Linked DNA regions of Zea mays. The main gene of each other region encodes a partner of the protein of the gene in region 3 in a complex. Links are inferred from orthologs where the notes say so. Each region holds a gene or a part of one and is shown on either strand. Other genes may lie near its edges. The genes, in order: 30S ribosomal protein S31, chloroplastic-like; 30S ribosomal protein S13, chloroplastic-like; rps11; 30S ribosomal protein S6, chloroplastic-like.

Region 1 (8,687 bases), on a different chromosome or scaffold from region 3:
CCTGAGGCTTTGAATGTTGACACGGTCTTGGTGGTTGAACACGCAGGTTTATGTCGATGAAGATGCCTCCATATCCACCATAGAAAGGAGGGCGAGCCTGAAGGAATTCTACAGTATGCTTACTATCCACCATAGAAACTAGTGATTAAGAAGCTTTTTTTTTCTGTTCAAGATTTTTTTTTGTTGATGCTGCTGCTGCTGCTGCAGCAGTGGTTTAATATAGTTTTGGGACCCCATGGAATGCAGCTATCATATACCCTTTCTTGCAACAACTGGAGGACAACTTGATGGACAAGGACTGCAAGGACAAAGGGTGGTCTGCTGCTGCCGCCGCCGGCGGCGGCGGCGGTCGGAAGCTTGTTGCCGAAGATGACAGGGAGGATGAGTGTGGCATTTGCCTGGAGACCTGCACCAAGATGGTCCTTCCGAATTGCAACCATGCCATGTGCATCAACTGTTACCGAGACTGGTATTGCTCCCTGTCGCTCTTGCTTATCCGTTTGGGGGGTGTATTATTTAAGCAACAATATATCTGACTGAGCCTGGATCGTTATCAGTTAGGGCCCCGATATCACACGCCACCATTAAAAAAATTCGCTAGCGGTTTGAACAGACTCAATGTGATGTCGATTTTAAAGATAAGGTTCGAGGAAACGAGTAAGCATTGACGCAGTCTTGAACTCTTGATAGCGCAAGGGTGGTTCAGTAATGATTTTCTTAAACTTCTCTGTGGGCTACTTCTACTCACTCATTGTTGGTGGGGAGTGGGGAGGGGGTGGTTGAACAACCCATCATAGTCCCAATGCACTTCTTTTTTCATGTTCACCATTTAAAGCCTCCATTTAGTCAAATTCAGATGCTACATTCTCCTGAACTGAATGTTTGTGTTTGTGTGTGTGTGTGTGGGGGGGGGGGGGGGGGGGGGGGAGGGGGGTTCCATTTTAATCTTCGCTCCCCTCATGTGCGGAGTTTCTTCTATTTGTTTTTTACCACCATGATGGCATGGGAGTCCATGTGTTTCTTGTTCTATATTTTTCAGCCTTCTGTTTGTCAAAACTAGGAGGGATTTTATGTGATCTAATGACCATGTGCCATGTCAGGAGATTCATTATCTTCATTCCTCCAGCAGTCCAGCTGAATGCCAGAGATTTGCTGGACAAAGTTTATGATACTTTGCGCCGTTGTTAAAAAGCCCCCACGTTTCGTCAACAATTAGCAATGGTCCATTAACGGAATCGAAAGCAGACAACTGGGAGTGCTGTTGTAGCTTTAATGAAGTCGTTAAACCATTATTCACCAGTGCCAGCCAACTGCTAAGTTACAGACAAAAAAATAATAAAGGGATAAAAGGGGAGACACTCGTTGACGTGGCATTCTAAATCCTAAATGATTGTATTCTCTTAGCTGGCGGATCATGCTTGTGTACCAAGGATGTCATCTGCAAGTCATTGTGTTTTGATACATGTCAGGTTGTTGGTTTCAATGATACTCATCAATCGGCTGCATCACTCCAAGTTTGGCGAAGTCAATAGTAGCTTTCACAATAATGTTGCTTGAGTTAGATTAGATTACGGATAAACTCAATGGGATTGGTTATTGCAGTAGATTCTTTTGGTGACCACTGGGCCCATCTATTGTTGTAGCGATAAGAGGGATCATCCCCAACTGTTTTAATGACCCCATCCTGTACTGTTCCAAGCAACACCAATGCTGAACGCTGTAACCTGGATGTTCCGTGACTGCAGGTACACAAGGTCCCAGTCATGCCCGTTCTGCCGCGGGAGCCTGAAGAGGGTCCGGTCCAGAGACCTGTGGGTGCTCACCGGCGACGACGACGTGATCGACACGGTGACGCTGGAGAAGGAGAACGTGAAGCACTTCCTCAGCTTCATCGACAGCCTGCCCCTGATCGTCCCCGACAACATGCTGCTGGTCTACTACGACTACCTAGTCTAGCAAGGCTCCTCCCCCCACCCCCCACTCTGAAGCTCTGGAAGAGGAAGGGGGTCTGGGAAGAAGACGCGGCGTACAAGCGACAAGGGTTACCCGCAGCCGACCATCCTCTGCGGATCGAGTTGGCAAAGCGAAGCCGTTGCCGACCAACAGACGATACTCTCGTGGGCATGCCACGCCGTTGCGCTGGCTTTATTGCATGGTGGCGTTGCTCGCTGTAATGGTTGTAAATAAAGAAGGAAAATGTCTCGGGTTTTATATATAATATACTAGCTTGACATTTCTCGTCTGGCGAATTGCCGGACTGTTCAGAATGAAGAAATCAGGGGGCCTCTACTTCTCTGCTCTATATATATCGTCTTCAATTCTCGTGGCCACCTGCACCATTCATAATCGTGAGCGTTGTTGAGGATTCATCCGTTCCTCTCCTTCTAGAGGTTCCAGAAGAAAGAAGACACATGTGGTCAGGTCATGCCATCGAACCGTCTCCACTCCGTGCAAGGCACTTTGCTTGAGGCGTTCTCCCACCACTACATTTTGGCCATCGGTTTTTTATTCATGATTGGGCACTGAAACTGAAACTCTGCTCGGTTGACATGAACCTGATAGCGACCGTTCAATCTGTGCTGTACAGTAGTGCACAGGTGAGTGCCTGACAGTGACCTTGGCAACTCCTCCATTCGGTATTTCGGTTGCTGAAATGAATTGGAATCGCTCCAGCCACACGCTCCCAAATACTACTAACTCCAGCTCCAGGACCGAAAATTGCCTGCACGGGGGTGGGGGACAGCTCGGGGCCGCTCCTTGACGCTCACCCTACCCTCAGGGTTTGTTGATGCACAAGCCATGAGCTCATCCAGTCCGGAAAGCTGGCACCTTGCACGGGTGGTGCCGTGAGGCCGGCCACCATGGGTTCAAGTGTCTGCCTCCACCAGTCCACCGCCGAAATCGAGATTCGAGAAGGACCAGAACCCTAACTCAGCAGGAGAAGCACGGGCCGGAGAACGACGCTGGAGCATCTAGGGTTTTGTTTTCTGTTAGCATGAATCAAAGCTAAGCTTTGGTCATCTTAATTATATTAATTATCAAAAAAAAGAAAGAGAAAGAAAAGGATCCAAGACCTGACCAGACTCGACGACGGCCTGGCTAGGTGTGTGCACCATACTTTACAGTAATGGCCGATAAGGTTACTTCTGGCCCAGCCCACACCAGCCCTGCAGCCCATCTTAGATGTGCGCTGTGGCTCCAACTGCGAGCCCTTTTATCCCTTATCCAACCTGATCCACCACACCACCATTCCCGAGCACACTAGTCTCTCTTCCCTGCGCTTGCTCGCTCCTTCTTGCCCCCATGGCGCTGCTCGCCGTCCAGGGCATGGCCATGTCCACCGCCGCCGCGGCCCTCCCATCTCACAACCACGGCGCCGTCTCATCCTACGTCTCCACCTCCTCCTACGCGCTCGCAGCCTCCGCCGCCTTCCCCCGCGCCCGGGCTGCGTTCGCCGTCGGCGCCGTCTTGTCGGCCACCGTCACTCCAGTTCTTGACGGTAATTAAACAGCTACCTCCTCACTCCCCTTGTTTTTGTCCGATGTAGGAGTAGTTTCTTTCTAACACATGTCACGAGCAATGGCTACTGTTTTCCACGCAATAAGGGAGAAAAGGCAATGACTACTATTACACTGACACTTGGGAAATTCGTTCCAATTCAATCGGGATTTTTCTTCTTTTTATGAAATAGTCAAGGGATTTATTACTGAAATGTACTCCCCAGAAGAGATGGAGGTTGTGATGCTGTTAGTCGATCTGGGTCAACTAGACTGACCAAGGAAAGCATCCAGTTTTTAACAAACTGGTTCATGAAAATTGTGGTGGTTCCAAATATACTAGCTTTTGTCCCAGTCTATAGAAGTTGGATTCTCAGTTTCTTAAAAACCAAGAAGCTAATCCCATCTAGCTAAAGGCAGTTTATAGAAATTGAGGTGGTTCTAAAAACTATTAACCAGTTTTTTTATAAATCACTTTATAGAAACTGAAGTTAGAAACTAGATTCTTAAAAACTAGGTTGCTTCCAAACATGGCCTAAGGGTCTGTTTGGAAGCACCTAGTTTTTTTTATAGAAATTGACGTGGTTCCAAACTAATTTATAGAAATTGGATTCCTAGTTTCTTAAAAAACCAAGAAGCTAGTCTTCTCTAGCTAAAATCAATTTATAAAAATTAAGGTGATTCTAAACACCATTAACCTTTTTTTTTATAAACTAGTTTCTAGAAACTGGATTCTTAAGAGCTTAAGTTGTTCCACACGAAAAAATTACGGTATCGAGGAGCAGGAGCATATATATGAACTGAAAACTACTACTGTAGTAGATTATTAAACCTTTACCGGTTGACTGATTCACTTCACACGGTGTCAGGAGTGAGTGCCAATCAAGGAAGCTGAATCTCTTGTTTATCACTACCGCCTATAGTTTTGGTCGTCTCTGTTGCCACTGGCCTCAGCTGTTGTAAACACTTGTTTCTGGTTTATTAATACAGAGAGTCAAAGATGGATGCTTCTCATGCGTGTACTTCAAAGAAGTTTTAGTTAATCATAATTTGAAATCAATTTCTGAAATTCTAGTGTCCATAGCCTGCTTCAGGATTTTATTCTCTGATTGTACTACGAACCCAACTGGGGTGCTGTCCCTTTTGGCCTCTGTTTATATCAATACTGATGATCCTGTGGACTGACAGACAGTTTTAAACTTTATCTGGTCTTGCTCAGTCTACTGCGGGAGAGGGGACAAGAAAACGAAAAGGGGCAAAAGGTTCAACCATTCATATGGCAATGTGAGTGCTCCAGCACAATTTACATCGCATTTTTGGTTTTTTCCCCCTGTTCTGTTTTATTTAGCTGTCTGATCATGTCTAGGCGAGGCCGCGCAACAAGAAGAAGGGAACTGGGCCTGCGCGGCTCTTTGCCCCTCCTGCTCCTCCAAGGAAGGATCAGTTCGATGATGGGGAGATCATTTCAATCGAGATTGACGAGGACATCCTGGAATAGGTTGTCCGAGTTCTGCCTTGCTTTATATTTGCCCTGAGCTTAATTGGCCTAGTTTGTACCAAATCAAATACTACATATTTTAAGTAATTATTTCCTCGCCTATAATTATCGATGGGTAGGCTGCCACACTTTCATTTGGCTAGTAATGTTCCTACTACTGACTGGGTTCTTTATTTTCCTTTCCAGCTGCTGAGTTCTTTACTCTCTTCAAAATGAAACTGTGTCGAAATAAGTTTTTTTTAGAAGATATTAAATGATTCATCTAGTGGTAACGGAGAGATTACACGTTTCATTTGTAAGGGGATTAATAAGATTTAATCTCTTTCAATCCTCTTCTAACCGAACAATCCAGCCCTAACAGGTAAAACAAAATCCAACTAGCGATTTATTCATACGTCAGCAATGTGCAAAGATCTTGCGTGCTGAACTAATGATCGTGTTGTGTTATTAATATGTGTTGCAATGATGTAAGTTTTGTTTCAAACTTCAGCTAACACTTTCAGGTCTCTTGCTATGCCAATCTCTCACGAGTGTCTCAGCAAAATATGATCCAAACAAGTTGCTGTCTCCAACTCAGCATATATGAATTTTTGCCGACTCCAACTCAGCATATAGAATTGTTTTTGCCGATACATAGCCAGAATTACAGCATAGTTGATAGAACAAAAAAAGGGAGCTGCTCGATTCTCCATCGGCAGGACCAACTTACACGAAATTTAACAGCAAAGAGACTAATTAACATACAAATATAAAGATAACCATCATCCCACATAGGAAGCATGTTTTTTGGATGTCCGAAAATAAGCTCTAACGAGCAAACCACACTCCGCAACCTAGCTCGTAGGCAGGAGTTCCAAAACGGGCACGCAAAGAGAAGCAACTCAGTACTTGTAGTCCTTGACGTGGAGGCTCTCGGTGTCGGCGGCAGCATCACCCTTGTAGGTGCCGAGGGTAGCCTCAGAGTTGGCCTTGCACCTGGCGAGGAAGGCAGCTCTAGCCTTCTCCAGGTTCTCCACCTTGCCAGCCCAGGCCTTGAGGGTGCTCGCCTGGAGGGCACGGCCGAAGGAGAAAGACAGGGACCACGGCTTCTTGGTGCTGAGCTTGTTCATGGCATTGAGGTTGCGGGTGGCCTCCTCCTCGCTCTGTCCACCAGAGAGGAAGACAACAGCAGGCACAGCAGCAGGGACGGTCCTCTGGAGGGTACGGACGGTGTACTCAGCAATCACCTCAGGGGTCACCTTCTTGGAGTCGGAGCCTGGAGTCACCATGTTGGGCTTCAGGAGGGTACCCTCCAGGAGGACATGGTGCTCGTTGAGCGCCTTGTAGCAGGCAGCAAGGACGGTCTCAGTGACGTAAGCGCAGCGATCAATGTCATGAGGGCCATCAACAAGGATCTCAGGCTCAACAATTGGCACCAGACCATTCTCCTGGCAGATGATGGCATAGCGAGCCAGACCCTGAGCGTTCAGGTCGATGGCAAGCTGTGATGGCTCATTAGGGCCAATCTTGAGAACAGCGCGCCACTTGGCAAAGCGGGCACCTGCCTCGTAGTACTTGGCGCAACGCTTGCCAAGGTCGTCATGGCCTTGGGTGGTGGTCTCCTTATCAGTGCCAACAACCTCAATGGTGCCCTTGTCAACCTTGATGCCAGGGAGGACGCCTCCCTCCTTGAGGACATCAACAAAAGGCTTGCCATCCTTGGTCTTCTGGTACAGGGTCTCCTCGAAGAGGATCACACCGCTGATGTACTGGAGAGCACCAGGGCAGCAGAATAGGAGCTCACGGAGGGCACGGCGGTTCTCCTCAACGTTCTCGACATTGATGCTGGAAAGGCGCTTGCCAATGGTGCCAGTGGACTCATCAGCAGCAAGGATACCCTTGCCGGGGGTGCCAATGTAGGCAGCATTCTTGATGAGCTCATCTGCAAAACAATATGCATAATAAGCATGGCTATCTACCAGGTACCAAGGCTATACTGAATAATACAAAATGACTTCCATTATCAAATCAGGAGGCCATCCTGAATAATACAAAATAAACTTTAATTATTAATTCAGGAAGTTTACTGTTTATTAACCAAAAACTGCTTTATATATAATTGTATCGGCATAAACATCATGACTAAAAGGAACCACAGATCAAGATTAGACTAGCACAAAGCTTTAAACGATTTACATATCTGACTGTCCTAGATGTATATGCGTCCAGCATCTATTCTAGTAGCCATGAAACAACAGGCAAATATATTTAGATTGAACAAACAGGCTATATATAATTTGAAACAACCATATAAAAACTAGTCCCTCTATTTTTGTATAAAACTTGCTAGCAGGAGAATATGTTTCATCAACTGGAAACAGGACGAGCAGATGCATACCACTATATGTATGTATAAAATCGAAGCAAAAAGTAAGCAAATCCCATATCCAAACCGATCAGAGGCATCACCTTTTGGCAACCACCAAGCCCCTGGCGGGCACACGACAGCACAATCCTGTACGGATCTAAAAAAAATCCACAAATCCTACAACTGAACGAGTCTCTCAGACCTATACGAATCGTTAGGCTAGGCCACCAGATTTCTGTCCACACATTCCATTTCAAACTCCGATCTGTGGACAGTACAGTCTACAAAGAGTGTTCTCCCGTCCATATAGCCGTTAGCCTTAGCATACCCATCAATCACAGCGAGATCTGAGCGCACCAACAACGAAACAACTAAACAGATCTACGATACACGAGACCTAAAGGCATCACAAGCAGATCAGCAACGAAGATCAGCAACGAACGAGGATACGATCACGACAGGGGGGGAGGAGGAGACGATGGGACGTACCCTTGTACTTTCCGCAGTAGGCCGACATGATCGATGCTCGACGCGACGGAGGCTACGAAGATCGCAGGCGAGGTGGTGTTGGGAGGAATGGTTAAGGCAGGCGGGGGATGCGGACGACGACGGGTGTATTTAAAGACGGTTTGGGCTTGGCCAAGGGGAAAGAAACCAGCGAAAGGGGGATCTGATCTGGGTGCGCCACCGGAGCCGGCGGATCGAACCTTGTGCGGCGCGCCCGGTTCGGCGCGGCGCTGCCCCCGGTTTTCATGTGCAGTCTCGTCGACGCGGCTTTCTGGTTTTTTGTTTTGGTTGGGCTGGGCGGCCGGTTCTCTTTCTCCACGAGGCATATCTATCTATTTTTTACCATATATTTTGGCTGCTATATACAACATAGTGTAAAGTGCATCGGTGACATCGAGTCTTTTTTGTTGTTAACTGGTTATTACAAAGGCGCTTTCCAGCTTCGAATTATTAGAATAACTATGGTTTCCGTACCTTCTATATGTGGGATTATCATTTTAGTAAACACCATTCCAAGACAAAAAAAAGATAATAATTAAAACATAGAGTGCAGTTGGATACAGCATGTGATAATCATATTTTCCAATGTTTTTTTTGTTAAATATTTATTTTCGTTGTTTATATACGTAGATTCGATTATCATAGCTAGGGCCTTGGCCCGAATTTTTTGTATTTTAGCCCTTAAACAGAAGTAAAATCACGTTTAGACCTAAAAAAATTTTAAATGCAGTTTTGGACCCTTAGCTCGGCGCCATAGGCCGTGGCGCCGAGCTAACACAGCTCGGCGCCACAGGCTGTGGCGCCGAGCTGTGACGTGGCCGCAACGGCTAGTTGCGTC
Region 2 (8,345 bases), on a different chromosome or scaffold from region 3:
TTGACATACCTTTCCATATTTTCTTTGCTGCAACACTAGTTGGTCTTATTCCAGCATCTTATATTACTGTAAAGGTAATCTTCTTCTTTAACAACAGATTTGGTATGATTGTTTAACTCATTTTTAGATTATATTGAATCATTAATCTGAACCGAAGTCCATGTTGTATGTTAAGAAATCACTTGAAACATGGACTTGGGTGCTTAAACATCAAGAGTATCAAATATGCGTCATTGTTTAGTGTTCTAAATGTATGACATTATTCTTGTTTTGAAGTTTGATCAGTGAAGATGAAAGATAACATGTGTCATGAACTGCCTAAGCATGTCTTTGCTGATGGCTTCAAGCCTCTAACATATCCTTGAAGTTTTCTGTGTTTAGTACTTTAGTAGAAGATGGATGAGCAAACATCATCATGGGTGTCTGGGCCTGGGGACTGCTTACCTTTAACTGTTGTTAATTCCAATTAACCAGTAGGAACCTTGTTAGATCCGTACTGTCCATCCCCGTGCAACCTCTAAGACTATACTTTGTGAAGAGTTACCTTTTTTACCGCTAAAGGCTACTTCCTTGACCTAGAAACCACTTGAGCTGTGCGCTTCACTCACTTTATGCTTCCCTGTAACTGTAACTCCAGTGCTCTTCTTTTACCAACCTTCTCAGTGTATTGCATTGAAATAACGAATCTTACCTTTGTTTGGAGCCTGACGGTCCTGTTCCTTGATTATACTTTTTTGAGCATTTTCAGTCGTTTTTTTGCTAATAATTTTCGTGTCATTGTCATGCAGGCTGGTAGAGCCCTAGGCGATCTGAAATCAGTTAGAGAGTTGTATGACTTCAAGACATTAGTGGTTCTGTTCCTTATTGGATCTGTTGTTGTCGTTCCAACAATCCTGAAAAGGAAGAGAACATACGAATGATGTCTTAGAGCATCTACATACTTTCTTTAGATGTTCAAAATGTATTAGGATTTTTTTACCTTTTGTTTTCTTGATATCGTATACATTTTCAATTCTATACGTAGAGATGTAAAATCGAATCGAATGCTTTCTAATACTAGATGATGCCATCATTGTATCTGCATGTCTCCTGTTCATTATTGACCTGTATCTGTGCATACTTATTGTCTGAATCCTGTGTAAGAAGTTCTTGAATCTTGACATAGGGGGGGGGGGGGGGGGGGGGCTGTCTTGCCCTTCGTATCGCCCTCTGCATTGCACATTTGCACTTTATATCAATATCAAAATACTGTGTTTTAAGAAATGGGCGCAACAGCCGGGCATCGCTGCATGGAGCTGTCGTGCCCTCGGGGTGTCTTATAAAATGCTAGGGGACATCGGGTAAGAACTTGTTCGGTTACAAGAGATGAAATCGTACTATAGATTTAATTCGCTTCTAGATTTGAAATCTGATTATAGATTTAATCCGCTTCTAGATTGAGTGAATCTATACCTTGCACTCAATCTAATCCTATGATGGGATTAAATCCATGTATCACTTAAAGCTAATTATTCTTTTGATCCATAGATTTTAATATAAATATAAATTTGTGTAATATCTTTATAGATTTGTTCCATACCTAACGAGCTATATATAGAATCTGTCTTTCATTGTTTAAAAAATTCTCAAACCCTTAGGTTATAATCTATTATACGTTTAACCGTATAAAAGAATTTGAGTAGACTTGAATTATTTTAGGCCATGAAATGTGACATAGATTTAATTTCAATCCATACTAATCAAAAGCTAGATTGATGTAAACGAATAAGGCCTAGTAGGTCTAATAGGAGTAACACAAAAATCAAGCGGTATCATCCGGCTCGTGTAGAGGGAGCGGGAAGCTAGCTCCGTTTTAATCAACCGGCTCCTAAACCAAACACAAAAACCAAACATTATCATCCTAAGGCCTTGTTTGTTTTCCTTTTAGAATATATAAGTTGGATTATGCTGAAATAGTAGGAGAGTAAAATATTACCTTGATCACAAAAAAGCTAAAATAAGCCACCCAACACTAGCTTATTTTAGCTTATTTATAGTCTCAAAGTGATATTTTACTCTCTTACCCTTCCACCATAATCCAACTTATATAATCTAGAAGGGAAACAAATACATTTTAAGATACCGCTGCGACTCACTCGACATCAATGTCTTGGTAATTCGATGAAAGTATGAAACCATACTGTGTCTTTTGCATACGTTTCTCCTTACGCTTGAATCTATTGTGCGAGGTGCTTTCAATCTTTTGACACTTTTACATACACTTTGATGTGTCACTGACATCTTAATTATTAACTAACATATAGCCCATGCTAACACTATGATCCTATAGAGGAGAGAGATCGACGACGACGGCACGAGGGGAGGAGTTGATACAGCGACGGCGGGGATGCGGAGGGAGTGGAAGGCTGAGGGCTGAGGGCCGCGAGGTTGTGAGGAGGGAGGGAGGGAGGGGTGATAGATGATCTAGATAATATTGTCCATTGGATTTGAGTAAGGGAGAGTAGAGATGGCAATGGGTAAATACCCACCGGGTATTACTACCCCATACCCATACTCACGACACAAAAATAACTCCATCGGGTCACCCATATACACTGGCGGGTATGGATTTACCCTCATACCCTTACTCATGTGGGTATGGGTCACCCATCGGGTCACCCGTACCCACAAAAGCTAAACATCTATCAAAATATTATATGATAAAAATGTCAAGTATATCCATCTAAATACCATTACAAAATTTCTAGTATCATTTAACCATCCATTCAACACACCAAAGATAATTGGATAAAGTAGTAACACTAGGATAATACTACATAGCACATTACATGGTCATTAAATTGTCGTTAAGCCTTCTATGACATTATGGCCTAAAAGGTTGTTAAATAGTAAAAAAGATGGATGACTAAAGTCAAAGTTCATACTTGGGCTAAGTTTATATTGGGTATTTTATACCCACGGGTTAACGGGTATGGGTGAAGGCGGAACGTTCTAATACCCGTTTACCCATTGGGTGAAGATTTTTGCCCAATAACAGACCCACGGGTAGAATATTTAGCCACATACATACCCTAATGGAGTAAATACCCATCGGGTATCGGGTCGCGGGTACCCATTGCCATCTCTAAGGGAGAGAGAGTTATCCAGCAATATGAACTATGGATTTTGATGGTGTGTTAAGTCTAGATATAATTTGTTTGGAATATTTAGGGCTAGTTTGGAAACTTAAATCACCTCTGAGGTTCTTAGGGATTGAGGGGAATCCTCGGGAATCAAGGAGAAGATTTAAGTTTCTAAACTAGCCCTTAGGGCTAGTCAATAGAGGTTATGTACTTATGTGTGTATATGATTTGCCTGGTGGGTTTTGTAAATTTTAAACTGATGCATTATATATATACTCATCTTAAATAATATTCCCTCTGTACCAAAATAAAATTCGTTGTAGACTAATGCTGGATTCATCAAAGATCTGAAGGGTTTACTTTATATATGTGTTGTTTTAGTTCTCAGTGTTTATGTCTATATTTAAATGAATAAAGATAAATCTAGACACTTTTAAAATACATACATTAAATATTGTATGAATATAAGATAAATTTTAATTTAGAAGAGAGGAAATACTATTTTAGAACGAACGAGTAGAAAAAAGTTATATTTTCTATTGGGCCAACGAGTCCAAAACACACATAGGGAAAGGCCACTAGGTCATCGAAGGTTGCCTACGCATACGCAACCTTATCATCATCCGCCCTTGGGTTTTCTATCCGATAGACCGGGGACGCACAGGCCTCTCGCCCTCCGCGCGGCTCCACAGGAGAGCAAAAATGGCGACCCTCTCCATGGTCTCCGTCCCCATCGCACCCTCCTCCTTGTCCCTTTCCACCCGGGGCCGCAGCTCCTCCGCATCCTTCCCCGCTAAGGTTAGTGCCGCCTTCTGCTATACCCCTATACCCCCCTGCGTCCAGGGAGCTTGTCTGATTGGGGTGTCTTGTTTTTCTAACCCTGTACGGCCTTGTTGGAATGGGGTGTAAATTAGTTTTTTAGTTTCACTCTAATCTATATCAATACATATTGATTGTGCTGAATACGAGAGTATCCAAAAACAAGGCCTACTTGGGATGGTCGTGTCAGGAGCGTTGGAAGGATGGTCTTCTGTGAACTGCTAATTTTCAATACATTGGTAGGAAATGGCGCGTGTTGGTTCATGCATATGAATTTTCTAGCGCATTGTCAGTAATGCTAGTGTTTCATGGTACAGCAGTATGACTGATTCTAGTAGCAAAGAAAAGGATGTTTCTTTAGACTTTTGATGTGGATCTGAAATTCTGAACCTGATTATAGGAGCTGTTGTTTATTATCGCTGTTGCATTGTGCGCACAGCCTGAATACGACACAAACATGAACTTCGATACATCATTAATTTATCCCCATCTGAATGACCCTTCATACCCAGGCTCATGTTGGTGGTTTATTTTGCGGTTTTTGATTGTGCTGTATGTTGGGTGGCCTGACAGAAGGGAGGAATCGGTCACGGTGGCTTGCGGATCGAGTGCATCCGTATTGGTGGTGTTGAGATTCCAAACCACAAGAGGGTGGAGTACTCGCTGCAGTACATACATGGCATTGGACGCTCACGCTCACGCCAGATCCTCCTGGACCTCAATTTCGATAACAAGATCACCAAGGACCTCTCCGAGGAGGAGGTCATCACCCTCCGTAAGGAGGTTGGCAAGTACATGATTGAGGGAGACCTTGTAACGTCCCTGATCCCTTTGTCGATTATTCGCTGCAGTTATTTGATTCAGTAGTTCATGATGATTAACGACTTGTATGGTTACCATAGTTACTTAGTTAACATATCAATGATTCCTTGAAAGCTTTGAAGTTCATTCTGCAGGTCTGCGTATTTAATTTCACTTCCTTAGTCATAGATGATTCCTGACTGTCCTAACTGTTTAGTTTTATATCGATGTTGGACTCCAAGGGAGTGAAAACGCTGAGAGCTGGCACACTGCTGTTTGGTATGCTTTACAGAAACGTTTCAACCGTGTGGCGATTGAGAGGCTGAAGGAGATTAGGTGCTACAAGGGCATCCGGCACAAGCTTGGACTCCCAGTTCGTGGCCAGAGGACAAAGAACAACTGCCGGACACTTAAGGGAAAGAGGGCTTCAGTTGCCAAGAAGAAGTCACCCGCCTCCCAGGATGAATAAATCGTATTGCCATGTATTGAAGTTCTCTCTCTCTCTCTCTCTCTCTCTCTCTCTCTCTCTCTGTGTGTGTGTGTGTGTGTGTGTGTGTGTGTAGCGCTACTACTGCTGGGTGTTTTGTTTCGAGCTTTTATGCTGCCATTGACAAATCATGGGGTAGCCATCAGCTGCTGCAGATTTTGTAGCAATGACATACTAGCTCATATGGGTCGGTTCTATAAATGAAGATCAAATTCTTGTTTACATCCATTTGTATTCCTCTGTCCCAACCTATGCTCGATGCAAGGAGTCCAGACTGCTCCTGACGAATTACTATTTACCAGATCCAGTGTTCTGGGGATTATTCACCTGCCACTGGTATACCTGTTTTCATCCCTGCACGAGATGATCATGTGGCGAAGAGTTATGATTCGAGATCTCTCCCCTTAACAAATGTAGTTGAAAAAACAAGTTTTGGCTACCCGTCGATGGTTATGTTTTTTTTCTTGATAAGGACGATGGTTAAATTGTGTTTGGTTTCAAATAAAGATGATTTGAATCACTTGATTGAAGCCATTAAGGTTTCCTGGCATTCATCAGCCCCCAACTTGCAGAGCACGGATGACGGATGACTGTGAATTTGTGATCCCGTGGTGTGCTATTTGCCGAAGCTTGCACCGGTGCACGGACACCACCACCTGCTCCCCCATCCGGCGGCACCCGGGCCGCCGCGCCCGCGCGCTCTATCCACCACTCAAATAAACGCGATATGCTCTGCCTTGCTGGCCTGCTATTGAAAATCACACGACTTCCACCGCAATCGCACGCAAAAATCCCGCTCGAGCTTCCACCGTCTCCCTCCGCTTCCCCGTGCGGCGGTGCCGGGTCGCGCCGTGCCATGGCGCCCGCCTTCTCGGTCTCGTGCGCGCCCGGATCCTCGCGCCCGCTGGCCGCCAGCCCCGGCCCCAGCGTCGTCGTCGTCGCCTCCTCCCAACTTCCCGCGTCGTCGCGGAGCAGCGAACGCAGGAGAGCACCAGGCCTCGCGCTCGCCGCGGCCCCGGGTGTCGGCGGTAGGGATGGCGGTGGCAGGTGGAGAGCAGGCATCTCGTCCTTCCCCTTCCTGCCGCCGTTCTTCACAGGGAACAAGGGGGAGAAGGACGCTGAGAAGGCGATGAGGCTCAAGGAGGAGCTCCTCGACGCCATTGCACCGCTGGACCGTGGCGCCGAGGCCACGCCCGAGGACAAGGAGCGCGTCGAGCAGGTGAGGACGAAGAAACTAGTAGCTACGAGGGACGCACCGTGCATTTGGTAATTGGTTGATGGCAGAGACTCACGTGTATTTTTTTTTCTTTTTTTGCTTCAGATTGTTCAGCAACTGGAGGCGGTGAACCAGGTGAAGGAGCCGCTCAAGTCCGATCTCCTAAACGGCAAATGGGAGCTTCTCTATACCACCTCCACAAGTATACTGCAGCCACAGGTTCATTTCCTTTTTGCCTCACCAATGTACAGGTTCTGAAGTTCTGAAAAGTAAGTTCTTTTTTTTATAGGTTCTAAGAGCATCTCTAACAATGTTACCATGTAAAAATGTCCTAAAAATTTAAAATAAATATATTTATAGAATTTAGGGCATCAACAAAAAAAATCAAGCTCCAACGGTAAAGCTCCAAATCAAGTGATTAGCATAAATATGTTAATCTACTATGTTCGTTTGGAATGGAAATGAAAGTTTTATAAAGTGTCCATTCGTTTAGATCTAGACATGAGACATCACAATAACATACAATATATTTGTGGCACTTCAGGAGGTGACCTATATTTTTTGACATTTTTTTATAAAATAAGGTATTATTGGAGCAGTTTTTTTTAAGCTTGATCTCTATTGTTTAATTTAGGACGAAAGAGCCTCTAACAGAGTTAGTTAGGTGGCCTGAGTAACACTCCTCAGGTTCTGGGATCGACTCCCCATAGAAGCGAATTTTAGGTTGTGGTTAAACAAATCCCATCGTCTGTCCCACGCCAAAGCACGGGTGTAAGGCTCGGTCCCGGTCGCGGTCGTTTCTCACATGAGCTACGGTGTCGCTGCGAATGGGTGGGGCAGAGGTTCGGGGATTTTCTCGATCTGAGTGAGAAGGTCTTTTTAATATAATATCCGGGGTTGTCTTATCCCCGCAGATCGAGTTTTTATAGTCTAATTTAGGGCACCGGGATAAGTGGAGATGCTTTAATAAGCTTAAAGGTGAATACATGCATCAGCACTGTAGAAATTCTTAAGATTGTGTGCTTTATTGTTTGATAGTGGTAAATTGGCAACAAGTGATAATCTTCACGTATGTAGAATTTATGCAATTTGAATTTAAATTCGAGGAAGAAAAGGACTTTCGGTTCATAGTTTATATTTTTTTCGGCCTTCCTGGCATGCTGCTGAAGTAGAAAATAGTTATAGTTCTTTTTACAGGAATGACAAATTCTACTCACTTTCTACTGCAGAGGCCAAAGTATCTGAGGCCGTTTGGGAAGATTTACCAATCAATCAACGCCGACAATTTGAGAGCCCAAAACATGGAAACTTGGCCCTACTTTAATCAGGTAATTTTTGCTAGAACTTGTTGCGGTGTACTTTTGGCTTTTCTCTCTCTTTAGCATTCTTCAATCCCTTTCTATGTTATGAAGCGAAGAGTTCTCATCTGGGAACGACACGCTGTACCTTTTGTGTGGCATGTGGCTGAGATCTTTCTGATGTGTTATGGGCTTATGGCCAAGCAGTTTTTGAAAGTAGGACACTGTCTTGTGCTCTGGATAAAGGAACGTGTTAGCTTTGATCACAGTAGTGACTAGTGAAGTGTTGGCTTGATTTTAATAACATGTTCATTTCCATGTTTGAACCTTCTTCTAGTGTCAGCTTGCAACTATATAACTCATCTTCTTCTGAAGTTATGTTGCATTTCCCATTGAACAGCTGCTATGCTACATGTAATGTTCTAGGCTTTTGCCTGCAAATATATTCCTAGCAGCATACTCAATATTGTTGCTGGTTTTGTACTACTTGTGTTGGTTGATTCCCTGAAGCATGGTGCTAGCGTGATTTACCTATGTTTTGTCTTCTCAGGTTACTGCCAACTTGGTACCTCTGAATTCTAGAAGAGTGGCAGTTAAATTTG
Region 3 (7,193 bases):
TAACCTTATTTATGACAAGTTTCAAATTGGTAAAGTATACCCCTAGGATAAAGAAGAAGAAGGGGCTGAGAAAACTCGCAAGAAAAGTTCCAACCGATCGTCTACTTAAATTCGAACGGGTTTTCAAAGCACAAAAACGCATACATATGTCTGTTTTCAAAGCACAAAGAGTTCTAGATGAGATTCGCTGGCGTTACTACGAGGAAACCGTTATGATACTGAATCTCATGCCTTATCGAGCATCGTATCCCATCTTAAAGTTGGTTTATTCGGCAGCAGCAAATGCTACTCATTATAGGGATTTCGACAAAACGAATTTATTCATCACTAAAGCCGAAGTCAGTAGGAGTACTATTATGAAAAAATTCAGACCTCGAGCTCGAGGACGTAGTTATTCTATAAAAAAAACGATGTGTAATATAACAATTGTACTAAATATAGTAAAGAAATCAAAATAATCTTTAGATCAATCTAAGATTTCGATTCCCAGTAAAAAAAAAAGAAATATAATAGAAAAATATGGGACAAAAAATAAATCCACTCGGTTTCAGACTTGGTACAACCCAAAATCACCATTCCTTTTGGTTCGCACAACCAAAAAATTATTCTGAAGGTCTACAGGAAGATAAAAAAATACGGAATTGTATCAAGAACTATATACAAAAGAATAGGAAAAAAGGCTCGAATAGAAAAATGGAATCAGACTCAAGTTCTGAAGTAATTACACATATAGAAATTCAAAAAGAAATCGATACAATCCACGTCATAATCCATATTGGATTCCCCAACTTATTAAAGAAAAAGGGAGCAATCGAAGAATTAGAGAAAGATCTCCAAAAGGAAGTTAATTCTGTAAACCAGAGACTTAATATTGCTATCGAAAAGGTTAAAGAACCTTATAGACAACCTAATATTCTTGCGGAATATATAGCTTTCCAATTAAAAAATAGAGTTTCATTCCGAAAAGCAATGAAAAAAGCTATTGAATTAACTAAAAAAGCGGATATAAAGGGAATAAAAATCCAAATTGCGGGTCGTCTAGCAGGAAAAGAAATTGCACGTGCCGAATGCATCAAAAAGGGTAGACTACCCCTCCAAACAATTCGCGCTAAAATTGATTATTGCTGCTATCCAATTCGAACTATCTATGGAGTATTAGGTGTCAAAATTTGGATATTCGTAGAAGAAGAATAACTAACCATGTCTTCCCATTCCGCCAGTGATAGAATAAAAAAGACAAAACCTTGTTTTTCCAAAAATCCCTAAAAAAAAGAAGAAGTATCCCTCTTTCTATAAGATTTAATGAAAATTAAGAAATCTTTTAATATAATTGCTATGCTTAGTGTGTGACTGTTAGTTTTTTCTTTAGGGTCAAAAATGGAAAAAAACTTAGTAATGATAGAAAATTAACTAATAACCAACCTATTGCTTCGTATTGTCGAGATCCTAACTAAGAAACAGTCACTATGTGAATAAATACATCTATCAAAAATGAGTAGATCTATCATATAGTTGTAGCAACTGCATTTTTTTCTCTACAAAAGAAACCAGATTCTAGGCTATGAAGCAAAACTAAAGGGTAGTGGATAAAAGGAGGGATGATAGATAGAAGGAAGAAGAATAAGAAAGATATAGGATTCCCATATGTATGGTCTATGAATTCATCATAAAAAAAAGGCAATGTGATAAAGCATCAATATAATAAAATTCTCAAAAAAAAGAGAGAATTCATCGTAACTTGACTTTTGAAACAACAAATAAAAATATAAAGCAATAAATAAAGAGCAGCCGGGTTAATAAAACTGAGAAAATTGACTCGGAAAAAAAAATTGGAAGCTCCATTGCAGGATTCAAACCTAACCATTAAAGGAGAAGCTGTGGGAACGACAAAACCTATGACTACATAGGATTTATTGAAAGAATCCTAACACTTCATTGGTGGATGGCGGACAAACCACAAAATTGCTTTATTTGATAAGGTTCTAAATTAACAAATAAGACAGGAAAGAGTAAATATTCGCCCGCGAAATCCTTATTGGATTAGAATACTTTACCACGATTCAATAAGAATAAAAAAAAAGGAGATTCCAAAAAAGGAAGGATTACATTTTATATAAATATTGAATTTGGATATATTCTAGATCTTCTTTCTTGACTATATATTTAATTTTTCTTTTTTAAGTTTAAGAAAGTCAAAATCAAAAAAACCTAACTTTTTCTATTATATATTGATGTGTATCTATCTATAATATTTTTGAATATTATGGAATTAGAGAAATGACATTCGCACGCTTCTCATTTCATTCGCGAGGAGCTGGATGAGAAGAAACTCTCATGTCCAGTTTTGTAGTAGAGATGGAACTAAGAAGGAACCATCGACTATAACCCCAAAAGAACTAGATTTCGTAAACAACATAGAGGAAGAATGAAGGGAAAATCCTGCCGAGGCAATCATATTTGTTTTGGTAGATATGCTCTTCAAGTACTTGAACCCGCTTGGATCACCGCGAGACAGATAGAAGCAGGACGAAGAGCAATGACACGATATGCACGTCGTGGTGGAAAAATATGGGTGCGTATATTTCCCGACAAACCGGTTACAATAAGACCCACAGAAACACGTATGGGCTCGGGAAAGGGATCCCCCGAATATTGGGTAGCCGTTGTTAAACCAGGTCGAATACTTTATGAAATGAGCGGAGTATCCGAAACTGTAGCTAGAGCAGCTATCTCTATAGCTGCCAGTAAAATGCCCATACGAAGTCAATTTCTTCGATTAGAGATATAGAACCCCAAAAAGGAATATTGAAGATAAAAAACCCCTGGTTTTTCTTTCTGGAAAGACAATATTTCTTTCATCCTTTTGCATTGAAATAACAAATGGAAATCCAAATAATATGATTCAACCTCAGACCCTTTTAAATGTAGCAGATAACAGTGGAGCTCGAAAATTGATGTGTATTCGAGTCATAGGAGCCGCTGGTAATCAGCGATATGCTCGTATTGGTGATGTTATTATTGCTGTAATCAAAGACGCAGTGCCCCAAATGCCTCTAGAAAGATCCGAAGTAATTCGAGCTGTAATTGTACGTACACGTAAAGAATTCAAAGGCGACGACGGTATAATAATACGCTATGATGACAATGCAGCAGTTATCATTGATCAAAAAGGAAATCCAAAAGGAACTCGAGTTTTTGGCGCGGTTGCCGAAGAATTAAGAGAATTGAATTTGACTAAAATAGTTTCATTAGCTCCTGAAGTATTATAAATACTAGTAGACGAGATATAGATCAAAGAAAAAATTAGTAGATTTTGTCTCACGTATATGCTTTAAAATCCTAAATTTAAAGAAAAGGGAAAACATGTTGATTATAGAAAAATTAGGAGGAACCTAGAATTAGAGTCTTATGGGCAAGGACACTATTGCTGATTTACTAACCTCTATAAGAAACGCAGACATGAATAAAAAAGGAACTGTTCGAGTAGTATCCACAAATATTACCGAAAACATTGTTAAAATACTTCTACGAGAGGGTTTTATTGAAAGTGTTCGGAAACATCAGGAAAGTAACAGATATTTCTTGGTTTCAACTTTGCGACATCAAAGGAGAAAGACTAGAAAGGGAATATATAGAACTAGAACCTTTTTAAAGCGTATCAGCCGACCTGGCTTACGAATTTATGCCAACTATCAAGGAATTCCTAAGGTTTTGGGCGGAATGGGAATTGCTATTCTTTCTACTTCTCGAGGTATAATGACAGATCGAGAAGCTCGACTAAACAGAATTGGGGGAGAAGTTTTATGTTATATATGGTAATGGCCCCACCTATAGTACCCAAATTCTATCTCGAACTTCCTATTTTGAAAATAAAAATAGAAAAATAGGAGAAAAATATATGACAGAAAAAAAAAATAGTAGAGAAAAAAAAAACCCGAGAGAAGCAAAAGTCACTTTCGAAGGTTTAGTTACGGAAGCCCTACCCAACGGAATGTTCCGCGTTCGCCTAGAGAATGACACCATCATCCTGGGCTATATTTCAGGAAAGATCCGGTCTAGTTCTATACGAATACTGATGGGGGATAGGGTCAAAATTGAAATAAGTCGTTATGATTCCAGCAAAGGTCGTATAATTTATAGACTTCCCCATAAGGATTCGAAGCGTACCGAAGACTCGAAGGATACTGAAGATTTGAAGGATACCAAAGATTCAAAGGATTAGGTTTTTCTGGGGTAATAACTTCCAAGTTTCAAAATTTAAGTGAAGAGACTTATTTTTTCCAAAAGAATAGATTCATAGTTTAAGAAAGGAATACCCATATATGAAAATAAGAGCTTCCGTTCGTAAAATTTGTACAAAATGTCGACTGATTCGCAGGCGTGGGCGAATTAGAGTTATTTGTTCCAATCCGAAGCATAAACAAAGACAGGGGTAATCTTTCGAAAAAGAAGCTTTTCTTTCTAATAGCTTTTCTTTCTAATTAAAGTAAAAAGTACCCACGGAAATGCCCAAATTGCAAATAAAAAAAATGAAAGTAAAGGATATATTTTAACCTGAAACGGATATCTTTGTATCTTTTTTCTTTTTGTTATTTCTAACTCATATTTATGAGATAATAAAATATGACAAAAGCTATACCAAAAATAGGTTCACGTAAGAAAGTGCGTATTGGTTTGCGTAGGAATGCCCGTTTTAGTTTACGGAAGAGTGCACGTAGAATAACAAAAGGGATTATTCATGTTCAAGCTAGTTTCAACAATACCATTATAACCGTTACAGACCCACAAGGTCGGGTCGTTTTCTGGTCCTCCGCAGGTACTTGTGGATTCAAAAGCTCAAGAAAAGCATCACCCTATGCTGGTCAAAGAACAGCAGTAGATGCTATTCGTACAGTGGGTTTGCAACGAGCAGAAGTTATGGTAAAAGGTGCTGGTAGCGGAAGAGATGCCGCATTACGAGCCATTGCTAAAAGTGGTGTACGGTTAAGTTGTATACGCGATGTAACACCTATGCCGCATAATGGATGTCGACCTCCTAAAAAAAGACGTCTGTAAAAAAAAATGAAACCGCTTTCAAGAGAAATAAACGATTCAATGATCAAATAATATAGTCTGTTATGGTTCGAGAAGAGATAACAGGATCCACTCAAACACTAGAGTGGAAGTGTGTTGAATCAAGAGTAGATAGTAAACGTCTTTATTATGGTCGTTTCATTCTGTCTCCGCTTAGAAAAGGTCAAGCGGATACTGTCGGTATTGCCTTGCGAAGAGCTTTACTTGGAGAAATAGAAGGAACATGTATCACACGCGCCAAATTTGGGAACGTGCCACATGAATATTCCACAATAGTAGGTATTGAAGAATCCATACAAGAAATTTTACTAAATTTGAAAGAAATTGTATTGAGAAGTAATCTCTATGGAGTTAGAGACGCATCAATTTGCGTCAAAGGTCCTAGATACATAACCGCTCAAGATATAATCTTACCGCCTTCCGTAGAAATCGTTGATACGACACAACCTATAGCTAACTTGAGAGAACCCGTTGATTTCTGTATTGAGTTACAGATCAAGAGAGATCGCGCATATCATACGGAACTCAGAAAGAACTCTCAAGATGGAAGTTATCCTATAGATGCTGTATTCATGCCTGTTCGAAATGTGAATTATAGTATTTTTTCTTGTGGGAATGGAAATGAAAAACACGAGATACTTTTTTTAGAAATATGGACGAATGGAAGTTTAACTCCTAAAGAAGCGCTTTATGAAGCTTCTCGTAATTTGATTGATTTATTTCTTCCTTTTCTACACACAGAGGAAGAGGGCACTAGTTTCGAAGAAAATAAAAACAGGTTAACTCCACCCCTTTTAACCTTTCAAAAAAGATTCACTAATCTAAAGAAAAACAAAAAAGGAATTCCATTGAATTGTATTTTTATTGATCAATTAGAATTGCCTTCTAGAACGTATAATTGTCTCAAAAGGGCCAATATACATACACTATTGGACCTTTTGAGTAAGACTGAAGAAGATCTTATGCAAATTAATAGTTTTCGTATGGAAGATGGAAAACTGATATGGGACACTCTAGAGAAGCATCTCCCAATTGATTTACCTAAGAACAAGTTCTCGCTTTAAATCATTGCAATTTTTTCCTCTTCTTCTTTTTTGAGTTAGAATAAAAAGAAAAAAGAAAGCAATTTGGCATCTTTGGCATAATCTATATTTTCGCGAAATGGATCATAATAAAATAGATTTTAGGTATCTAGGGAAGATTCACTTGGAAGTAACTATTTCCTAGATACCCATGCAGGGGACTTCGCGGTGGAATGAATCAACTCGAAAAATCCCTAAACTAAAAAAGACCTAAAGTTAAGGATTTATCAATGGGTAATGTTGCTCCAATACCTAACCAAAGAGCTACTGCAGTACCGATTAAAAAAACGGTCGTAGCTACTGGGCGACGAAATGGATTTTGGAATTTATTGACATTCTCTAGAAAGGGTACTGTCAATAAGCCCGTTGGCACAGAAACCATTAAGAGAACGCCCAATAACTTATTGGGTACTGTACGGAGTATTTGAAATACGGGAAAGAAGTACCACTCGGGTAATATTTCCAAAGGAGTTGCAAACGGATCCGCCGGTTCACCAATCATTGACGGCTCTAGAACCGCTAAACCTACATTACACGCAATAGTACCTAGAATTACTACTGGAAAAATGTATAAAAGATCGTTGGGCCACGCGGGTTCCCCATAATAATTATGTCCCATCCCTTTAGCTAATTTTGCTCTTAATACAGGATCATTTAAGTCAGGTTTCTTTGTTATTGGGATAGGTGAATTCTTTAGGATCCATCCCCCAAAGGAACCGGACATGAGAATTTTTCATCATCCGGCTCGAGCAAGAATGAAAGAAATAAGACCGTGGAGGATCCACAATAGAATAGGGGTATATAATGACTCAATGACTCAAGGTAAGAAAAACTTTATCAAATTATCTTTTCCGAAGTTGCGCCTATAACTACTCATTGAAAAGAATCCTATTCTTATGCTTAAATGCTCAATATCCAAGTGGGCTTACAAATTTGATCATGATCAATTGCTTTGTGGATTGTCTCTTGATTAGTTGTTGTTTATCCCCTCGATATCGCAAGTTTCTTATGTCCAAACAAAGTATTTACTTGTTACTA
Region 4 (7,990 bases), on a different chromosome or scaffold from region 3:
CCTTTCTCTGTCAGTTTAGCTTTTAAGTGCACAGTTCAATCTTTGTACACTGGAAAATTGTTCCTGTCATGTATGTACCAGCACATTTACTCGACAATATGATTTTCTTTACAGCGCGTGAATTACACATCTAGGGTTTCAATGTTTGTAAGGCACTTATTCAGCATCAACCCTTTGTGCCTCATGTTTTCAAATGACCCTGTTGTTATGTGCCTCATGTTTACATCATACATTGATATGGATTTCTTGGTAGGAATGGTTTGCACATGTAATTGAATTTACTCTTTAGAGGTTCTTGTGGTCTACACTGCCTTTTTATGGTTTAATGGAATAATGGTTGGCACTATTTTGTTACAGATTTTTCATCTTATTATCTGTGTCTATTCATCATGATGCAATGCTAGATACATACTGATGATTCTTTGTTTAATTTGTAGACCGATCAAAAGTTGCGCCTCTGTGATATATGTGGAGCATTTCTGAGTGTATATGACAAGTAATGCTTCTAGCTCTTTGCATTCCCAAAAATATCTGAAGCTGTCAAATTGAATATTTATCCTAAGCTGAAAATATTGGGTTTTTATTGGGTTTAAAAATTGCACCTTGATAAATCAACCTTGACTTGTGGGTTCCATCGGGCTTTTATCCCTAGCCTACCCCAACTTGATTAGGATAAAAGGCTTTGTTGTTGTTGATCCTAAGCTGAAAATATCTCAACAGTGATCGACGTCTTGCTGACCATTTTGGAGGGAAACTGCATCTAGGCTACATGCTGATTCGTGACAAACAGAAAGAACTTCAGGTAAATTCCTGCATGCCTATGCCCAAAGTAGAAGTTAAACACTGGAGATTTATGAAACAGATTAATACTTCCAAGGTTTCCAAACCTTAAAGACAAATAAAACAAAATTTACATTCTGTTTGGCCATCATCAGAATACGATAATCTTGGTTTATTCACTTATCCTCAATCTAAATCTATAAAGGTGCAATTTATCAGGTGCTGAGTGTAATGTACCGTTTTCTGCTTTAAAGAGTTACTCTGTTTTGGGCCTTTTGGCATCTGTGAGTTTTCTTATCTCAAGAGCCTCAAGGTTCTCACCTTCCCTCTATATATTATTTGATTCTCACATTGCCGGGCACTATGGTTATTACGATAGTCATTACAGGAATTAGTCCATGTCGCGTGATTGGAATCTCATGCGATGATCTTCATACCTATGGCTACAACAGTCACTGTCTGTTGACAAATGTAAGCATAGGAGCGTGCGGACCATGGTATGAAAAAAATCATGTTTACTTAATTGTGACAAACTGCTCATGTGTCTGCTTAGTATCGATTGTTGGGCAGAAGCTGGAGGTTGCCTTTTTACTGCCTGAGCCATATTATGTAGACCAGGTGACAAATAATACTGGTTAAGTTATCCTGAAAGCACACTTCTTTTGCCAACATTTTGCTGTAAGTGACAACTTGTTCTGTTTTCTATCTGCTACCTCCTCCATAAGTTTGCAAGTTACATTTTGCTGAAGCAACCTTGCCTGTAAAGTATCGCCCGCCCTATCTTTTGGAACGTTGTCTCTGATTTTAAATATGCCAAAATATCATTATCTGTACTGTCAATAAACAAAATACACTGTGGCATCTTGCAGGAGCAGAGAAACAAAAGGAGGACAGGCAAAACTGAAGATGATAGGCGGTATGGTATTCTGTATTCCGCATCCTCATTGTTTTAGTCAGCAATCAGCATCATGGTCATCTTATCTGAAAGCATGCCCATTTGGCTCTTTTAGATCTAGAGAGCAGAGCAAGGATCGAAACGGCCCGCCGTCCAGGGATAGAGATTCAGAAAGGAGAGACAGGGTTGAGTCTCGAGATGGAAGAAGAGATTATGATAGGGAACGCGATAGGCGTCACGATAGGGACCGTCGCCATGACCGCGACCGGGATAGGGATTATGACCGCTCCCGCGGATATGACTCAAGGAGAAGAGAGCGTTCACGCTCCAGGGAGCGCAGCAGGTATTGCTGAATAATAGGCACACTTTTTTATTTGAAACCCTTGTGCCTCACATCGTTGACTGACCCAGGTATTTGTTTATGATTTCAGGCGCCATGAGAGATACTAAATGTTACTCCATGGCTGACAGATTTTGGATTGCTGGCGTCTGTTCTGGTTTGTGTTGTGCTTTGTGTCTTATCTTCCGAAGTTTCCTGTTCCTGCTCGAGAAATCCGAAAGCCAATCTGCGTTCTGCATCATGTCATGTCCTAGTGTCGTACTGTTTAGTTATATGCCGAGAACATCTCTTTCATCAAATGAATATTTGGAAACACCAACGCACTTGACGCTAAATGGGAATGAAGTGTGGAGTATTTAAACGCCTCTGAAATCAAATGAAAGTTGTACTTGTACGAATCTCTTCCACAAATTGCACTGTATATGCTTGTACTGTTGCAGATTTACGATGGGTTTGGACTGTTCTCCATCCCCGGAGCGCGCTCAGGCTCGACGCTACCTAGCTACGGACCTTTATTTTTGGTACCTGATGAAACATGATGGTTTTAGGAGGCGCGGTGTTTCTCTGGCGAACGATGGCCGGACGTCCATTTTCGAGAACCACAAGACAAGAAACATATTCAAAAAAAAAAAACTCAACAATCATGGCAAAGGTGGATTCTTGTACAGCAGATTTCTTGTAGTATGGTATGTGAACAAAACAGTGTTCAGGGCCTGAAGGCGGAGGAGGCAACCCGTCTAACTAGACGGCCTTCCGCTGGCGGACCTTGAAGCTGGTGGAGCGGATGACGTCGTCGTCGGCGTTGAGCTTAAGCTGCAGGGCGTCCATGGACTCCGGCTTGGTGAAGTAGGTGATGAGGAGGTAGATGCCGTCGTAGTAGGTGGACGGCAGCCCGGTGCGGCTGTTCCTCTTCCTGATGCTGTATGCCAGCGGGATGACACCGCGGTTGAAGACCTCCACGTACATGGCGCCGCCGGCGACGAGCAGCTGCAGCACAGGAAAACACCAAGCTGAGCTGGATTGGAATGGTACGCAGATGGCATGTGACTGATAACAGCGATTAAGGGCCCGTTTGGAACTAACAAATTGTTAGCTAGGTTAAACCAGCTAATGGACTGATTGTTAACTCACAAATTAGCTGAGTTATTAGGTAGGGGGTGTTCAAACCTCTACTGCTATATATTCAAGCTGTTCACCTGTCTTTAATCCGAAACGGTTTCTTGTCTCTATATATTACCGCCGCAGCATCTGACTTCAATGTGAACAAACTGATTAGCTCTAGACTAGAGTGAGTTTCTAACAGAAACAGTGCCTAACATACATGGTGAATTCAGGATAGGATGGCAATTAACTATGGCGGATCCACTTTTATACGTTTAGAAATCCTAATATTTATTGGATGAAATTCGAAACACTCGGAACCCTTTTAACATTCGTCTCGCATTGCTCAAGTATGATACCAGCCTGTCCAGAAATTATCATCTGTCTGCTCTCTCTGCCATCGGAACAGCAAATGGTAGCGAGATATGCAAGAGGCAGAGGTGAGCCGATCGAGCCGTGCCCGTGTTACGCTGCTCCATCCATCCAGTTAGCTATAGTGGCAGCCAAACGGAGCGGAGGCAAACGCAAATTACCTCCTCGTAGCGCTGGATGAAGGCGAGGCGCTCCTCCTCGGACATGTCGGGGCGGAGCACGACCATGGTCTCGTACTGGCGGAGGCCGGGTGGGCAGGGCGGCATCTCGCGCTCCTCCAGCGCCAGCGCGGCTTCCGCGGCCGACATCCCGAGGCCGCCGCCGCCCAGCCCTAGCCCCGGGCCGAACCCCGACTCGTAGCCGACCTCCTCCTCCTCGTCCGCGCCGCCGGCCGCGGACATCGCCGAGCCGCCGTAGAAGGACGCCGCGTACCCAGTGGAGACCGCGCGGGGGCGGGCGAAATGGGAGGGGGCGGGGGAGGGGAGGCGAAGCAGCATCGCAGCGGGCGGGCAGGAGCGGAAGGGCGGCAGCGCGGCGGACGCGGATGCGGAGGAGAGCGGCAGCAGTGCCATGGGTGGCGGCATTGGAGGGGCCAAGGGGAGCCGAGCGGCAGGGGGGCGACGAGCGCGAGCAGGACAGGAGCCGGAGAGCGGGAGGAGGCGCTGACGCTGTTGGCGTCGCGTCCACTCGATAGATAAGGATAGGACGCCACGCCCTGTTTGGAGTTTGCACGGATTTTCATATTGGTGGAAAAACGGCCGGGTTGCCAGTTAAACCAAAATTGTTTACAACGTTAACTTTGTGTGTATTTCAACTATATGTAGTTATGCATTTCTTCTATGTTTTATGTGTATGATTCTTTTGTTGTCATATACGCAGCATGTATGTTTTCCTTTATTTACCCATAGAAAAAGTATAAATTATTCTTTTAATTATACTAATTGATTATCTAAGTTTGCTGTCCAAAGATTTAGGCAGCTAAAATACAATATCAACAGCGGACCTATATTTTTTTAAAAAAATCTCGAACAGTTGAATTGACTAAATATAGAGTAGACCTAATCTTCTCTGTATACGAGATATAAGGGGCCTGTTTGGTTCAGTTTTTTTCTGACCAGCTTTTCTGAAAATCTGGCTGTAAGGAGAATCTGGCTGTGGGGAGAATCTGAGTATCATTACGATTACGTGTGGAGGAAAATAAAGTTGTTCATAGGACTCAGGATCTAGAAAGTGATGAATTCATACTATTACAACGACTTAACCGATTATGTGTTTATATTGATTTTGGATGGTTTTTGTCCCAACGAATTTTATAGAAGCTGGCTGAAAAGCTGAGCGTTTGGCAATCCGCAGCAGCTTTTGGTGGCCAGAAGCTGCTAGAATCCGAAACAAACAGGACCAAGATAAAAGATCTAGTGAATTTGAACACCGAAAAACTTTGTGTGAAGGTCTGAAGACATTCTATTGTAGGTCAATTTGACAGGACTTCGACTCTACTTTCTCACGACTTCTTAAAGGGGCCAATAGCCGAAAACAACTCCTTGTAGAGCTCAAAAAGTCAAAGTCATTTTTTATAAAAGAGACACGATGCTGAAATATGGCTTTTATTTTTGGATTTTTTAAGCTTTTGCTCCAAGTTTTGCTGGTGTTCTCATTTTTACCCTTAGTCGTGTTTTTTTACTTAGTTTTGTCCTTCTAGTGTTATAGAGTAGTAGGGCAAAACTAAGAAAAAACACGACCAAGGTTAAAAATAAGGAATGAAGCAAAACTAAGGGTACAAATTTAAATAGCCCATTTTTTTACTTACAAAAACTTCAGCTTCATAGAAGGTACTCTACTGACAATAAAATAAGGAGCTAGAGCCCTTCTAAAAGGAGCCATATCAAATGAAACAACAGTATGAGTTTATTTGAGATTCACTAAAAATAATTTAAATTTTTGAAAAACTTTGTCAAACGATCTAGATCCACTAAATTTATATTTACCAAAATGGGGGATCTAAAGGCTAGATCCACTCTCTTGGTGAAGCTTCTCAATGGAAGCTCCAACAACATAAGTTTGATAGAGTTGAGAAAAGTTATCGACCACTACCATCGATTACAGTCCAATTCTTTCTAATTTTTCCACCTCTCTTCTTCTCCCGTCACACATCTTCTCTCTTCTAGCGTCGCTTTCTTCACCATGACATCTCCTCCCATGGCGAGCCCCTCCCTCGTTGTCTACTCGTGCCCGCACCATCGCTGGTCGGACCATGACCGTGAGGTCAATAGTGTGTGCCCTCGTTGGCTGGCAGCGCGAGCTTCTAGACTAGTGATGCACACTCCTTGACCGACTGGCCACCCCACCCCGTTTGGTTGTTTAGGTCAATCTTTGGATTATGCTGATGAGAGCACCTAGAGGGGGGTGAATAGGTGATCCTGTGAAACTTGAAAACTTAAGCCACAAAAACTTGGTTAATCGTTAGTACAATAATTGCCAAGTGGCTAGAGAGGAGTCAAAACACAATAACCACAAGAAATCAATCACAGAGATGACACGGTGGTTATCCCGTGGTTCGGCCAAGTACAAAACTTGCCTACTCCACGTTGTGGCGTCCCAACGGACGAGAGTTGCACTCAACTCCTCTCAAGTGATCCAATGATCAACTTGAATACCACGGTGTTCTTCTTTACTTTAATCTTTTCCCGTTTGTGAGGAATCTCCACAACTTGGAGTCTCTCGCCCTTACAATTGAATTTCACAAAGAAGCACAGAGTAAGGGAGGGAAGCAACACACACAAATCCACAGCAAGATGCGCAACACACGGTCAAGAATCGAGCTCAAAAGACTATCTCAAAGTTCTCACTAGAACGGAGCTCGAATCACTGAGAATGACAAACGAATGTGCAAAGACTGAGTGTGGATGATCAAGAATGCTCTAAGGTTGCTTGGATGTCTCCTCCATGCGCCTAGGGGTCCCTTTTATAGCCCCAAGGCAGCTAGGAGCCGTTGAGAGCAAATCTGGAAGGCCAATCTTGCCTTCTGTCGTCGGGTGCACCGGACAGTCCGGTGCACACCGGATACTGTCCGGTGCCCGATCTCCTTCCTAAAATGGCGCAGCCGACCGTTGCGGATCTGGGAGCCGTTGGCGCACCGGACATGTCCGGTGCACACCGGACAGTCCGGTGCCCCCTTCCGACCGTTGGCCCGGCCACGTGTCGCGCGCAGATTCCGCTGCCGACCGTTGGCTCACCGGACAGTCCGGTGCACACCGGACAGTCCGGTGAATTTTAGCCGTACGCCGTCGGTGAATTCCCGAGAGCGACCTCTTCACGCCGAGTCAGCCTGGCGCACCGGACACTGTCCGGTGCACCACCGGACAGTCCGGTGTGCCAGACTGAGCTGAGTCTTGGCTGTACACAGCCAAGCCTTTTCCACATCTTTTCTTTTCTTCTTCTTTCTGTTTCTAACACTTAGACAAGTATATTAGTACACAAAACCAATGTACTAAGGCTTAGAAACATACCTTTACTCTTGATTTGCACTTTGTCCATCCATGAGCATAACTTCACATTTAAGCACTTGTGTTGGCACTCAATCACCAAAATACTTAGAAATGGCCCAAGGGCACATTTCCCTTTCAGCTGAACATGTGCAACCCCTCCCTCTAGCCAGGCTTGGGAACAATGGTCGAAAATGAGAGCGCTCCCAAGCCTGGCCTAACTCAGCTCCCGCGCGACCAGGGCATATAACCATGCATCTCACTAGGGTTCCCCTCCCGCACTCGACGATGTGGCTCGCGCCTCTCCTCACCACTCCACACCCTCTTCTCATTGTTATCTCCTCTCCTATCCATCATGTCCCCCTCACTTGTGCTCCTTACTGGTGCATCGACTTAAGTAGCTATTGCTACTAGACTCTGTGTCGGTGATTTGGCACATCCCTCTCCTCTAATTTTATCAATTTCATGCCTTTTGGAATATGCTGACTTCGATTCACTTCTGTTCTTGTGTAGATCCTTCGTTCCCTCTCTTCTCTTGAATGCCTACTCTCGGAGGATCCGACTACCTCCATAGTTAGGCATACCCCTCCCCTATTCTCTCATTACGCTGATTGTAAGCTTTATTGCGTGTTTCCCGTATTTTTATACTCTAGATCCCCATGTATTACAGTATGTTTTGTGTTCAATATGGTGTTTTTGCTTGTCGTAATGCTTATTTAGTTATTTAGGACATCTTGCTTGGTTGGTTATTGTATAATTGTATCTCTTCTTGTACCGTTATACTCTAGATCCAGTCATTCACTTGCTTGCTTGTTATCTTTGCTACTGATATTTTGAGCACACTAACCTATGTTCCTTCTGCACATGATTATGCCTATTTGGTTGGAACATTTTCTGAGCAACATATCTTGGTCAATGATCACATAACAGGCATATTTTACCACTGGAGGATCATCTCACGATGCAACAACATGTGGTACTAATAACATAAAATGCACCTAATTGAAGAGCAAGACCATG

Evidence for each region.
Region 1: rps11 (region 3) and 30S ribosomal protein S31, chloroplastic-like share a complex: the UniProt entries of both Arabidopsis thaliana proteins name them as parts of the 30S ribosomal subunit. The link is inferred for Zea mays from reciprocal best matches to the Arabidopsis thaliana genes rps11 and PSRP4.
Region 2: rps11 (region 3) and 30S ribosomal protein S13, chloroplastic-like share a complex: the UniProt entries of both Arabidopsis thaliana proteins name them as parts of the 30S ribosomal subunit. The link is inferred for Zea mays from reciprocal best matches to the Arabidopsis thaliana genes rps11 and EMB3137.
Region 4: rps11 (region 3) and 30S ribosomal protein S6, chloroplastic-like share a complex: the UniProt entries of both Arabidopsis thaliana proteins name them as parts of the 30S ribosomal subunit. The link is inferred for Zea mays from reciprocal best matches to the Arabidopsis thaliana genes rps11 and AT1G64510.

Annotation. Positions count from the first base shown.
Region 1 is NC_050098.1:170,386,975-170,395,661, reverse strand, and holds 30S ribosomal protein S31, chloroplastic-like, read left to right. Parts: upstream 1-3,245; 5' UTR 3,246-3,303; coding exon 3,304-3,499; intron 3,500-4,716; coding exon 4,717-4,781; intron 4,782-4,863; coding exon 4,864-4,995; 3' UTR 4,996-5,208; downstream 5,209-8,687. Other genes in the region: putative RING zinc finger domain superfamily protein, read left to right, coding at 47-113, 247-469, 1,746-1,956; fructose-bisphosphate aldolase, cytoplasmic isozyme, read right to left, coding at 5,877-6,916, 7,832-7,859.
Region 2 is NC_050096.1:271,760,629-271,768,973, forward strand, and holds 30S ribosomal protein S13, chloroplastic-like, read left to right. Parts: upstream 1-3,707; 5' UTR 3,708-3,824; coding exon 3,825-3,920; intron 3,921-4,514; coding exon 4,515-4,754; intron 4,755-5,034; coding exon 5,035-5,211; 3' UTR 5,212-5,450; downstream 5,451-8,345. Other genes in the region: gtk16 protein, read left to right, coding at 1-74, 789-920; uncharacterized protein LOC100281127, read left to right, coding at 5,957-6,448, 6,551-6,664, 7,675-7,773, 8,294-8,345. UniProt on the Arabidopsis thaliana protein: Located at the top of the head of the 30S subunit, it contacts several helices of the 16S rRNA.
Region 3 is NC_001666.2:75,114-82,306, reverse strand, and holds rps11 (ribosomal protein S11), read left to right. Parts: upstream 1-4,623; coding exon 4,624-5,055; downstream 5,056-7,193. Other genes in the region: rpl22 (ribosomal protein L22), read left to right, coding at 12-458; rps3 (ribosomal protein S3), read left to right, coding at 520-1,194; rpl16 (ribosomal protein L16), read left to right, coding at 1,336-1,344, 2,387-2,788; rpl14 (ribosomal protein L14), read left to right, coding at 2,898-3,269; rps8 (ribosomal protein S8), read left to right, coding at 3,409-3,819; infA (translation initiation factor 1), read left to right, coding at 3,899-4,222; rpl36 (ribosomal protein L36), read left to right, coding at 4,323-4,436; rpoA (RNA polymerase alpha subunit), read left to right, coding at 5,118-6,137; petD (cytochrome b6/f complex subunit IV), read right to left, coding at 6,355-6,829.
Region 4 is NC_050096.1:303,985,234-303,993,223, reverse strand, and holds 30S ribosomal protein S6, chloroplastic-like, read right to left. Parts: upstream 4,188-7,990; 5' UTR 4,073-4,187; coding exon 3,650-4,072; intron 3,003-3,649; coding exon 2,757-3,002; 3' UTR 2,633-2,756; downstream 1-2,632. UniProt on the Arabidopsis thaliana protein: Binds together with bS18 to 16S ribosomal RNA.